3 linked regions of the Zea mays genome follow. The main gene of each other region encodes a partner of the protein of the gene in region 2 in a complex. Links are inferred from orthologs where the notes say so. Each region holds a gene or a part of one and is shown on either strand. Other genes may lie near its edges.

The links.
Region 1: the proteins of Thioredoxin-like protein CITRX, chloroplastic (region 2) and fructokinase-like 2, chloroplastic are in contact, whole or in part, in a cryo-EM structure (PDB 8XZV), measured with the Spinacia oleracea proteins. The link is inferred for Zea mays from reciprocal best matches to the Arabidopsis thaliana genes TRX z and FLN2. Residues at the interface, in XP_021862427.2 of Spinacia oleracea: Tyr73, Lys77, Ile83, Thr84, Val87, Arg88, Phe99, Tyr100, Thr102, Trp103, Gly105, Pro106, Ile108, Leu109, Gln112, Asp131, Asp133, Tyr136, Phe138, Ala139, Arg140, Asp141, Met142, Gln143, Val144, Arg145, Gly146, Leu147, Pro148, Tyr151; in XP_021858068.1 of Spinacia oleracea: Gln218, His219, Ala220, Phe221, Val222, Pro223, Ser224, Gly225, Arg226, Pro227, Ala228, Arg230, Leu231, Ile232, His234, Gln235, Ile236, His237, Leu240, Lys241, Ala243, Phe250, Ile251, Asp282, Tyr283, Thr286, Trp308, Ala310, Met311, Ser312.
Region 3: the proteins of Thioredoxin-like protein CITRX, chloroplastic (region 2) and Fructokinase-like 1, chloroplastic-like are in contact, whole or in part, in a cryo-EM structure (PDB 8XZV), measured with the Spinacia oleracea proteins. The link is inferred for Zea mays from reciprocal best matches to the Arabidopsis thaliana genes TRX z and FLN1. Residues at the interface, in XP_021862427.2 of Spinacia oleracea: Tyr73, Val75, Lys77, Ile83, Thr84, Val87, Arg88, Tyr100, Ala101, Thr102, Trp103, Cys104, Gly105, Pro106, Cys107, Ile108, Ala111, Gln112, Lys129, Asp131, Thr132, Asp133, Asp134, Tyr136, Phe138, Arg140, Asp141, Met142, Gln143, Val144; in XP_021865197.1 of Spinacia oleracea: Gln111, Lys112, Glu113, Phe114, Val115, Pro116, Ser117, Val118, Arg119, Val120, Ser121, His123, Gln124, Met125, Asp126, Pro127, Asp128, Ile129, Tyr130, Trp133, Met136, Gln137, Pro141, Phe143, Asp175, Phe176, Lys201, Ala203, Cys204, Ser205.

The regions. Positions count from the first base shown.
Region 1 is NC_050096.1:255,229,445-255,233,193, reverse strand, and holds the start of fructokinase-like 2, chloroplastic, read right to left. Parts: upstream 2,271-3,749; 5' UTR 1,951-2,270; coding exon 1,445-1,950; intron 1,214-1,444; coding exon 921-1,213; intron 790-920; coding exon 131-789; intron 1-130. UniProt on the Arabidopsis thaliana protein: Required for proper chloroplast development, most likely through regulating plastid-encoded polymerase (PEP) dependent chloroplast transcription.
Region 2 is NC_050096.1:224,701,599-224,705,347, forward strand, and holds Thioredoxin-like protein CITRX, chloroplastic, read left to right. Parts: upstream 1-1,520; 5' UTR 1,521-1,595; coding exon 1,596-1,850; intron 1,851-1,946; coding exon 1,947-2,069; intron 2,070-2,825; coding exon 2,826-2,906; intron 2,907-3,015; coding exon 3,016-3,132; 3' UTR 3,133-3,565; downstream 3,566-3,749. UniProt on the Arabidopsis thaliana protein: Thiol-disulfide oxidoreductase that plays a role in proper chloroplast development, most likely through regulating plastid-encoded polymerase (PEP) dependent chloroplast transcription.
Region 3 is NC_050098.1:184,110,196-184,113,944, forward strand, and holds the start of Fructokinase-like 1, chloroplastic-like, read right to left. Parts: upstream 2,260-3,749; 5' UTR 2,219-2,259; coding exon 1,346-2,218; intron 646-1,345; coding exon 1-645. UniProt on the Arabidopsis thaliana protein: Required for proper chloroplast development, most likely through regulating plastid-encoded polymerase (PEP) dependent chloroplast transcription.

The sequences.
Region 1 (3,749 bases), about 31 Mb from region 2:
AAGCTAAGTATTTTCAGGATCACATATCATTATTAATAAATAAATGTTGCACAGAGCATCTAAAACATAAAGTATTATACATAGGATATGATATCACAGGATTTAAATTTGATGATGGTTTGATATTTACCTCTTTTAGAACTGCCGGGTTGATATCAGACGGCAGGAAACAATCCTCAGCACAAGGTTTAACACAGTTTGTCTTCAGACTTCCTTCGGTTCTGACCTTCATCAAAGACACAGCAGTTGGTGCTGAAGGGTCCATATAAACTGCTCGAGTTTGAACTCCATTGATGTTTAAGTGATACAGCAAACTTTGACCGTAGTCATCATCACCTAATTTTCCCATGAATGCAACCCTTCCACCAATCGCTGCTAAAGCTAGAGCAACATTGGATGAAGACCCTCCTGGTGCCCTCACAAATTTGTCTGGAGACCAAAACATGTCCTTCATTCTATCATGAATCTCATGGTCTATCAACCTATTTGCTGGTCTTCCAGAAGGAATAAAGGAGTATTTGGCAGGTCCAAAGCAGCACACGAGCGGAATTAAATCGTCAACCTCTCCAATATCCTCATGTAGCACTGACGCTATTTTACTTTCCAGAACACTGGCAGAATTCTGTAGACGAGTCTGATCTTCTCTTTCATTATAGAGCATCAAATCTTTGCTCAGATGCTCTCCAGCATTATCAATAGGTTCCTCTACAGTCTTAACTTTTCTACGTCCCCTCTTCTTCGGTTCCTTGGCCTTATCCTTCTCCTCTTCTGAGCTTGCAGAAGTAGCAGCTGTAACAGAATAGACAGAACAGAGAAAAATTGTGACTTGCTAAGCTGTTCCCAGTCGAGAAAAATTATGAAAACCGCAGCATATAGAAACAGAAGTGCTGCAAAAATGCAACCAATATGTAGGTATTTACCTTTCTTGCGGCCTCTCCTCTTAACTTCCTTAGTCTCTTCAGCGGCCGTTTGTTCAGTGATGACTTCGATTTCTTCTCCTACATCTCTCGATGTTTCAACGGTGGCTTTCTTTCTTCCACGTCTTGGGGTTCTCTTCTTTTTTGTTGAGGTTTCACCGTCACTTTCATCGCTTAACCCATCCACGGCATCTTGTGAAGTCCTTGATGCAAAATTAGCACTGCGGTTAAGCAAACTCACTGTAGATTTAGCCATGTTCTTCCCCATATTGTTTGTCTTGTAATGTATTTGACCCCTGCGCACAACACAATCCAAATGACTTGACCAGACAATATCCAGGTCCATGAATCACAGGACAGAGCCGCATTTCTAGTCCCAGAATGAACAAAGACACAATTCTGGCTCCTAATCTCCTCTATCGCACCACAGACTGCAGCGACCATACGGGGGGAAACGGCATGTTTCACGCGGACTCGCATTGATAATTGGGATATACAGCAACGGATTCACTATGTTGAGAGATTACCTCAATCGATGAGAAGGGGGCTGGGAGCAAGTGAACTGAGGATGGAGAAGAAGATAAGCCATCAATGGAGGCAAGTAGCAAAAATCCCGGTAGCCCCTCCAATCACTGCTCAGCAACGAGGAACAGCAAAACCCCAGGGGACAAGGAGGGGAACGGAGATTTGGCCGGAGCAAATTACACTTTGGCCCATAGTTATGAGGATAAGGGGTAGAAACGTCATACCAGAAAAGGCGTATTCCATTAATTCGCTTTCTTATTCTGTTCGCGTAACCTGTTGTTTTCCTCCCCAGTCGGCGCATGGCGCAGCGCTCTCCTCTGTGCCTGCGCCGCCTCAAATCAAATGAAATCGGGCCTCCTCCGCACTTCCCCAGTCCAATTTTTTTCGCTCGGGAGGTACCGATCTCTTCTTCTTCCCCCGTATAATGGAATGGCATCGAGTTGTATCTTCTCACATCCATGCTGACATTTGTTGTAGAACCCTTGATTCCTATGCTGCTTGCCACCATTTTTCCCAACTAGTTTTAGCGGTTATTGTTGTCGTTGTTGTTTACCGAAAAGAATCCTGTCGTATTCTCGCCTCGAGGTCACAGTGGTTCCGCCATACTTGTCCGGCTCCGACTTTTCAATTTCCAGCACCGGCCACTGTTGCTCTGTTGGAATCCTATCTTCCCCCCTGCTCTTGGTCTCCTCATGTCTACTGCCACAGTGCTACAGATGTGGAAATGAAGCTACTCTACTTCAGATTTCCGTTTCAAAGGATTGTTTAGCTTCAAATGCTCATTCTGATATAAAACAGTTTGCTAATTTTCCTCTCATGTTGGCAGTACCGAGCTTGTTGGGTCCTTAACAAGGGCGGGCGTGCATTTCCCGAGGCACCATTCATCTGTGGAATCCTATGTCTTTGCAAGCTCCCAAGGGCAAGAGATTGTCGTTGCTTTAGGGAGCAACGTGGATGATACACAATCAGTACAGCACCTGATCAACCACTGTTCATATATTCTGTTGTAAGATGGACAACCAAGCTTGGACGACATGATTACGATTTATGCCAAACTGATGAAGATATAGTCCCAGACCAGTTGATCTGGATGTGATATTTTATGATAAGCATCAAACGAACGGAAATATGAGAGAGCATTTTTTTTTCTAGCTCCTTTTGATGGATCTTCTAGGATCTCTTGATCCTTGGATCAATGCAAAGTTGGCATTCTCTCAATATGCTGAAATGTGCACTTTAAACTGTGGAAGAACCTTCATGGAGAGCCTTTGTTTGATCATAAAAGAAGGCCTAATAATAGTGTTGCCTGTGGGTCATGGCCTCATAGACATAATCTGAAGCCAGATATCTTTAGTGACAGGTGGAAATTCTTGAGTGGATGCTGTTTTTCTGAGGTCAAATTGCTAACATCTGAACATGCAGATACAGTTGGCATTGGCACTCGATCCACGTGCCATTTTGCAACAAGGCTCTCAGAGGAGGAAGAGCTTCAAAGGTTGATTCCTGTGCTGGGTGCAGTCGTTAAAGATACTTGAGATAGAAAGAAGCTTATCCATGAATACAATTATATGCAGAAGTGCAGGTGAAACTGTAAATCGAGGAGCATATATAGTGAATGATGTATCTCGCAGGTGCCTTAACCTCTGTTTCTCACATTGTGTGTACATGGCAGGGGATCTATTCACATTGCATAGGCTACAATCTGGGTTTATATAGCCTCTGAGCAATACTCAAGTGTCTTACATGGAACTGGCAGAGAACTTTTTGAACAGAACAGTTGGAGATCTCTTCTATTAACAGAGAAGAATAAGAACCCAAAAAAAACTGTACAGGAAAAAAGGAATCAAGCAGAGCTAAACAAGAACATCACACTAAGCTTGAAGGGAAGATTTAACTCAATTTTATGGCTTAATGGAACTGGCAGAGATTCCTTCGTTGAGAATATTGTTGACCCTTCTAAATATTCTTAACAGAACCCTCAGCTTCTTTCTGGTGTGTCATCCATCAGAAGGGAGAATTGTCAAGGGAGCATTATTGCTTCACATGTACTAGTATGTTACTTGAACCATCCAGGAAAAAGGATTTCAAGGTGGGATGTGTGTGAGTGTGTCAATCCCACATGCAATGGTAGATTTGATGTTGATATACAAAGGTTTGTGATGCATTGTTGAAGCAAATAAAAGATGGGGATGTTTTTTTGAACCAAAGCCTTAAGCTTTTGCCCTTGTTTTTTTCTCTCTTTCAGAGACTTTTGCACTTGTCCATTAGTATGATATTGCTATTTCATTTTTCAAATAAACTATCTCT
Region 2 (3,749 bases):
AGCCGATGTATTACGCGTGTTTCCCCCTAATTCTACCTCGTGTGATGGAAAATTTACAATGCTAGATTTGTCAAATGCACGCGCTAATCTCCTATAGTCGTTTTGCATACCGCCTATAATATTTTGCATTTGTTCACGCTGTTCATCTACATAATTCTTAAGAGATTGTAGTTCGTTTGTATTACTTACATTGGGGATATCTGGCGTGGGTCACAGTGAAGCCGGATCCGTCGCCCGATGTCGAACGACTTTGTTGTTCCTGTCCACTTTGAAGTTGGCCAAGAACCTTGCTTTTGCCTCCTGGATCATCTGCTCCTTATGCTCCTCGAACTGGAGCTGTTCGTCAGCCGGCAAGGTTTCCCAAGTCGGCTCTATGATGTTGCTTGGAGAGACTTCAGAACTATCCCTCGAACCGGCTATTGAGGGCCGATTTGATAGGTCTAAATATGTCTTCCCCAGCGGAGTCGCCAAAAAGTATGTTGACGCCTTTTTGGAGCGCCAAACACTTCAACAAGAACCGTGGCGGTGCCCTCTGCACAGGGGCGGACGGTCCGCGCGCAGGGGACGGACGGTCCGCGGCCTGGTGCGAGGCGCGGCGGTGCTCTCTGGTCAGGTGCGGACGGTCCGCGGCCTAGGGCTGGACGGTCTGCGACCTAGGGCCAGACGGTCTGCGACCTGGCGCAGGGGCTAGGGTCTCCTGCCTGACGGTCGGACGGTCCGCACCCTGGGGTCGGACGGTCCGCGCGTGCGCAGGGGCGGCGGAAGATCGCCGGCGGCGCCTGGATCTCGCTTCTGGGAGGGACCCCGTCGGGGAGAAGAGATCCTAGGAGTTGTCTAGGCTCGGGCCGGCCGACCTAGACTTCTCTAATCGACGTAGAGTCGAAGAGAGGCGAAGAATTTAGGGATCGAGAAGCTAAACTAGAACTACTTCTAATTGTACTAGAAATAAATGCGAATAGAAGTTGTATTGATTCGATTGATGATGATTAATCGGCCGTAATCCTCTGTTTTTATAGAGGAGGGGGCTGGACCCGTTACCAACAAAACTCCGAGCAAATCCCGCGATTTTCGCCAACAAACGCAGTGAAAAACTCGGAACCCTAATCTATTCTGCGCGTGCGCGGACCGTCCGGCCCACAGGCGCGGACCGTCCGGACCGCGGACCGTCCGGTCTCAGAGCCGGACTGTCCGCACCTCAATTTGGTGCCCAACAATATGATAATTTTGGTCACTTTTGTTATATAGAAAGTTTAAACTAAATACTTATTGCGCTGTTGTGGTGCTAGTTGGTTATATATTTATATTAAATTAGGTAAAACGGGCTATCTGAATCTGAACACAAAAAATTCGAATACTCGAAAATTTGAGTACCCAATATATAAAGTTTATGTTGAGATATCATTTCTAGATATTCGAAATTTAAAAAGCTCGAAAAGCTCGACCCAAATTTTGGGCTAAGGTGAATGCCCAGATCTACGGACTACCAAGATGTGGATACCCGTGTTAAAAAAGCGTGAACTGTACAGTACTATCATTTCCACGGAGCCTTCCGGATAGGATTTGTCTCCCCTCCACTGCGCCTCTCCGTTTCCGCCATGGCTCCGGCCGCCGCCTTCCTGTCGGCGTGCGCCGCTGGTTCCATTCCCCGTGCGCCCTTCCTGATCCCGAGGCCTCTTCTTCTCCCAATTCCGCTCTCCCCTGCGCGCTGGGACCGCTCCCGCAGCTGCAGCCTCTTTGGCGTAGGCGCCAACACTCGCCGCGCGCCAACCCTTCGACGGAACGCCTCCACGGAGACGGTGGTTCCCTACGTGCCGGGCTCTGGCAAGTACATAGCGCCGGACTACCTCGTGGTACGCAGCACGGTTCACTGGATCGCAAATCTTTCTGCTCCTCGGCAGTCGGTGAGTTCGAGTCTGAGCGGTGCTTTGCATTACTCGTGGTTGCAGAAGAAGGTGTCAGCCGAGGAGGTGCAGGAGCTGGTGAGGGGGCAGAGGAAGGTGCCGCTCATCGTTGACTTCTACGCGACCTGGTGCGGGCCCTGTGTTCAGATGGCGCAGGACATCGAGATGGTGAGCCACCCTCCCTGCCAGTTTTCCATCATTTGGTTTGCCTGTGTGACTTTTGATATCTTGGCCAACACAATGCCTGTCTGTGAAGTTGCAATCAATGGGAGTTATGGGACCAGTGGTATAAACGAGTTCTATGTGCCTCGTCAGTGACACCTTCAGCGGCAACCATGCTTTGAAATGGAAAGGAATGCAGTACACAGCTATGCTTTGCATAGGTTCTGCTGGATTAAGCAATATGTGAAGCTTCTGAGTATATTTAAATACTTTCATTGGGCGATTTAGTCTAGATTAATATCAGACTATATTATTTTAGAGGAATTTAGACAGCTTGGTAGCTGGTGTAGTCTGGTATAGGACAAGTTGACAAGGCCTACGAGAGGAATTTAGAATTTGGACAGTTTAGAATTTTCATGCGAAATGAAAAAAAAATATTTTCTGAAAATAATAAAAGACTTCCCCTAGCAAATATTAGTATCTTTAGCAATTAGTGATTCTTCTTTTGTTTCTTTTGAAAACAATGTGAAAAGATGACCAAGAAGAAAAAATCTTGTTGAAAACCACTTTTGGATTTCTAGCTTTTATTAAATCATAGTCAATCACTTGAGATTCTGTTTAACTATTGCCGGTATCTTGAATCTTGGAGCTGTTCGCACTTACGTGTGCTCCCTTTTTTCAGGACAAGAAGATTATCTAATTGCTCTTTCTATGTTGATACATCATGTAGTATCTCTAATAAGTCCTTTCAATGTATTGCAGCTTGCAGTTGAGTATGAGGACAATGCCCTGTTTGTGAAGGTGGACACAGATGATGAATATGAATTTGCAAAAGACATGCAGGTACAACCAAAATGGCACTCATTGAAGCGAACAATGTGTTGATTACATTCTTATTTAGGGTTCTTTTTTTTCCTTCAATTTTTGAAGTCACTAATGCTGAAGCTTTCAGGTAAGAGGGCTTCCGACCCTTTACTTCTTCAGTCCAGACCAAAACAAAGATGCCATACGCACCGAGGGGCTAATTCCTATGGATATGATCAGAAACATCATTGACAACGAGTTATGACAGCTGATAGATCACTGTATTAGGAACATAGGCAATGTTTTATCTTTGTAGCAGAAAATTTTTTGTCATGAGGCTAAGCATTACCGCTAGGTGCTAGTTTGTGTGCTTGATGTTTTCTTTTGCTCCAATGGTAGGTTTCATCTGTGCAAATCCATTCTGCTGTTTCTGTATCGTGTTGTTTATTCTCATCAAACTCTAGGTTGTGTCGTGCTGTTGTCGGTTAGGCCTGTGTGACCATTTTCATCCCTCGAATGATAAGATGGCTTTGGCTCAGATTGGTCCTCAAATTATGATAGAACCAATTTGGTCCTTGAGGTGGCATTCTGGGCTTAAATTTTGTCGAGAACATGGGATGACTTCTGCTTGCAAGGAATGGGAGCAGACAATTCGATTCTCGCATGGATGGTTTAAGGGAAGGTAATTAATGGTGCAATGGATATAAGAAACTAATAGGCTGTTTGGTTTGAGGAATGAGCTAGTCCATCATCTTCCCACTCCTCACTTTTTTGTTTCGTTTGTGGAATGAAATGAGTTGATCCATCATCACCTCGTTCCTTATAGTTAGTTGTGTTAGTACTAATATGAGGAATATGCTCATTCCACCAAATTTGAGAAAT
Region 3 (3,749 bases), on a different chromosome or scaffold from region 2:
ACTCTCAGTGGGAAATCCTCGCACAGCACCAATTGTCCATTGTGATATGATTCCAGCGGCAACAGCAAATCTCAGTTGCCTCTCCAATGTATCCTGGTCTTCATACATTTCAGGACAAGTTGTCAGCTTCCTAATAGCAGCAGCCACAATAGCATCCCCTGAACCTGTTCGGTCAGTGGTGTATGGAGTTATGAGTGCATCCTCTGTCCCAACCACACAGCCATGAAACTTAGGTGTGTAATAGTGGATCCGAAGTGTCCCATACGTCACAAGCAAGATCTTTATACCGTCATGCCAAATAGGAGCGATCTCTTCAGGGCTGTAGTGGTAGTACTGTGGCCAGTTTCTTGTAAAATGAAATCCTTCAAGATAATACTGAGGAGGGGTGTTTCTCTTGTATTCATAGTACTCATGATCTAGGAGGAATTCCAGCTCATCCCTTGACACCTCTATGATTTCAGCCTCTTTCCACGCCCTGTTTATCACCTCCTTTGTTTTATCCTTGGAAGTCCACAATGGCAATGGCAAATTGAGATCGAAGAAAACTTTGCTTCCAAATTTCTTGGACAGCTCAATGGCTCTGAAGAGCGTGTCATGCATTGAGGGGTTTAGCAGGACTTCTGAATTGAAATGGAACATTCTAGCCTGTGTAATTGCCACAGATTAGATCTGAATAAAGAAAAAAATGTTTTGCAATGTAATAGCAATGACTACATCTAACTCATCAAAATGTCTCCTCTAAAAATCTTGTCGCCGGCATGTGAACCTGAACAGTGCAATTATGCTAAACATTTTATCTGCAAAGTTATTAATTCTGACGGCATCATTCACATGCTTACTTGAAACAGTTTGGAAGATGATATCATCGTGATCGTGAAAGCTATAGTGGTTTAAACATAATATTAAAGCTGTGGAGAAATAAACCTCAGAGACAAATTTATTATGAAGAAAGTTAGTTTCTTCAGAGCTGGAAACTTTAGATAATGCAGTATAACCTCTGATTTTCATGGACTGCTATAACAATTTTATCTATTTTCTAAATACAAATACTGATAATTTTTACAGTCCATAATCCGCTGCTATCTTAGATTCCAGAAGACTGATTCAGATGTCAACTCATCTCTTAAACTGCACTATGAGATCAAGTGCCATAGCTATGCTGGTGCTGCTAGATCAAACCAATTTTATATTTCAGCAAGGAATTCATTTGATGCAATTGTTCTGCAAAAGTGCACCGTGTTGTTATGCACATAAAGACATAGCTTGCCGTGAAATGACTACTCGAGCATAAATCTTGAACCGGAAATTCGGAATCCAACGTTTACCCAAGGAATTGCCAACTCACCTCTTTCAACACGTCTACATTGATCTCAGTCCTGCGGAGGGAGTCCTCGGCGGCACTCTTCACCGTCTCGGCTACAAGTTTCGTCCCGCCCTTGCCGTCCTCCCGGTCCCGGAAGCTCACCTTCATGCGCGCCGTGGCGGTGACCGCTTTGTCGTCGAACTTTATGGCACGTGTCTGCACCCGCTCGCAGTTCATGCGGTACACAAGCTCGCGGCCGAAGTCGTCGTCGCCGACCTTGCCCAGCACTGCGGCGCGCCCGCCGAGCCGGGTGAGCGCAATCGCCACGTTGCTCGCCGCGCTCCCCGGCGCGCGCGCGAACTCGGGCGGTTCCCATTGCAGGTGCCTCCACGTGGAGTACATGTCGGGATGCATCTGGCGGTCCGACACCCGCACCGTGGGTACGAACTCCCACCGCGGCGCGCCGAAGCAGCACACCAGCGGCGGCCACTCGTTCGCGAAATCGTCGTCGTCGCTACCCACTTCCACCGCATCCTCCTCTTCGTTGGCCTTTTGAATCGTATCCCCCGTCCCGTGATTCGCCGCCTGGGCCACCTCCTCCTGTTTAGCCTCTCCCTTGGACTTCCTCGTCCGGCGGTTGGTCCGCTTCACCGGCTCCTCCTCGCCCTCCGAGTCGGGATCCCGGTCCGCCTTCTTGGTTCTCCTCCTCGTAGCCCTCGGCTTCGGCGCCGACGGGGACGGTGACTTTTTGCGGCCGCGGCGCGAGGCAGGTTCAGGGAATTCCGGCACGGCGGCGCCGTTGGGCGAGCAGCGGAGGGAGAGGCCGCGTGGGAAGCTGGAGTGGAGGGACGCGGCGAGGAGAGTGGGCTTGGGGAACAGTGATGGCAGGAGGAAAGCGGGGGCGGCCATGGCCATTGTCGCTCCTCTTTGCTCGAGGTGAGGGGCGCGGCGACGAGCGCAGCGAGCGCTGGACTCGACTCTATCCACTATCCAGGAGAGTGTCAATGTGATCCGATAAGGGTTTTAGCAACCGTTAAGGATGTCGGGTTTGCGCCCGCAAAAGGAAAATTGTCCAAATGGAACATCCCGGATCCCGATCTACAACATGCAAGTATGTATTGTATCGACGACCCTAAAACATCCTTAAAAACATCCGTAACTATAAACAGGTGCTCATACACACGAACATGAATCACGATCTCAAAGGAGGTCTATCCCTAACCGACGGCGTGAATAAGACATGTTAGATAAGATGTCAGATATATTTCGGACTATCGATTTATTGTATACACGTGTTACAGTCACACATCATGAAATGTATAGCAATCGAACAAGTGATATACATATAGTCATGTAATCTATAACAAAAAGTTTAAATAAAATAGCATATTGTTATATTGGTACTACACATGATAACTAACAAATTTTGTCAACAACAACGATTAGTACAAGATGTACCAAAACAAGACGGGGCAATGTACAATACGATCTATTAGAGATCATATCAGGGCAGTATTACTTTGGAAAAATACTCTAAAAACGGGTGGCGACGCACCAAGGATGAGGAACACATGTTGTTTAGAACGTATGTCTTTCTTACATTTTATAGTCCAACGGTAGGCACTCTAACTACTCTATTTAATTGATACTAATATACAAATTCAGGACCTATTAGGTCATTTGGACACCCCGGAACAATCGGCTTCTAGATAATCTGAGGAGTCCATTAGCCATTTTTCCTGTTGCACCAATTCGAAGTAGGATTTGGTGGCCAGGAGTGAAACGAGTAAGAAGTGCAATATAAAGTGGAGTGGTAAGAGCAATTTGGAGAGTGAGAGATGTGAATGCAATTAACACTTTGTCTCTATTCGTCTGTTTCCATTTTTTATTTTCTAAATTCAAAATAACACAAACCAATCAGAAACTGCCATATAGCAACAGGTGGCCAGTACCAGTCAGTCAAGATCGGCAACGTCCATGTCTCAAACGCACGGATCTATATTAACTGACGGTCAATCTGGTTCTAACGCGGTCGATACTGATTGAATTGGCCGGTTTGTAGCCCCACCGAATGATCGACTGATTCAATTATGGGGTGTTTGGTTTGAGAAATGAGCTAGTCCATCATCTTCTAACTCCTCACTATTTTTGTTTGGTTTGTGGAATAGAATGCGTTGATCCATCAACATCTCATTTCTTATAGTTAGTTAGTTAGTACTAATATGAGTAATAGAGTCATCCCACCAACTCTGAGGAATGAACCCATGATGCACCACTTTAATTTGGATAGAGTGATTCCTCAAACCAAACACTCTATTAGTATTGGAGCTCGCTGGTCGATACCAACCACCCATCCATCGTGTAGGTGCATCGTACCGTGGGGAAGGAGAAGACGTTGGTACTGACTGTGACTCGGACGACATCATCGGTGCGCTTCGCTCAGCTC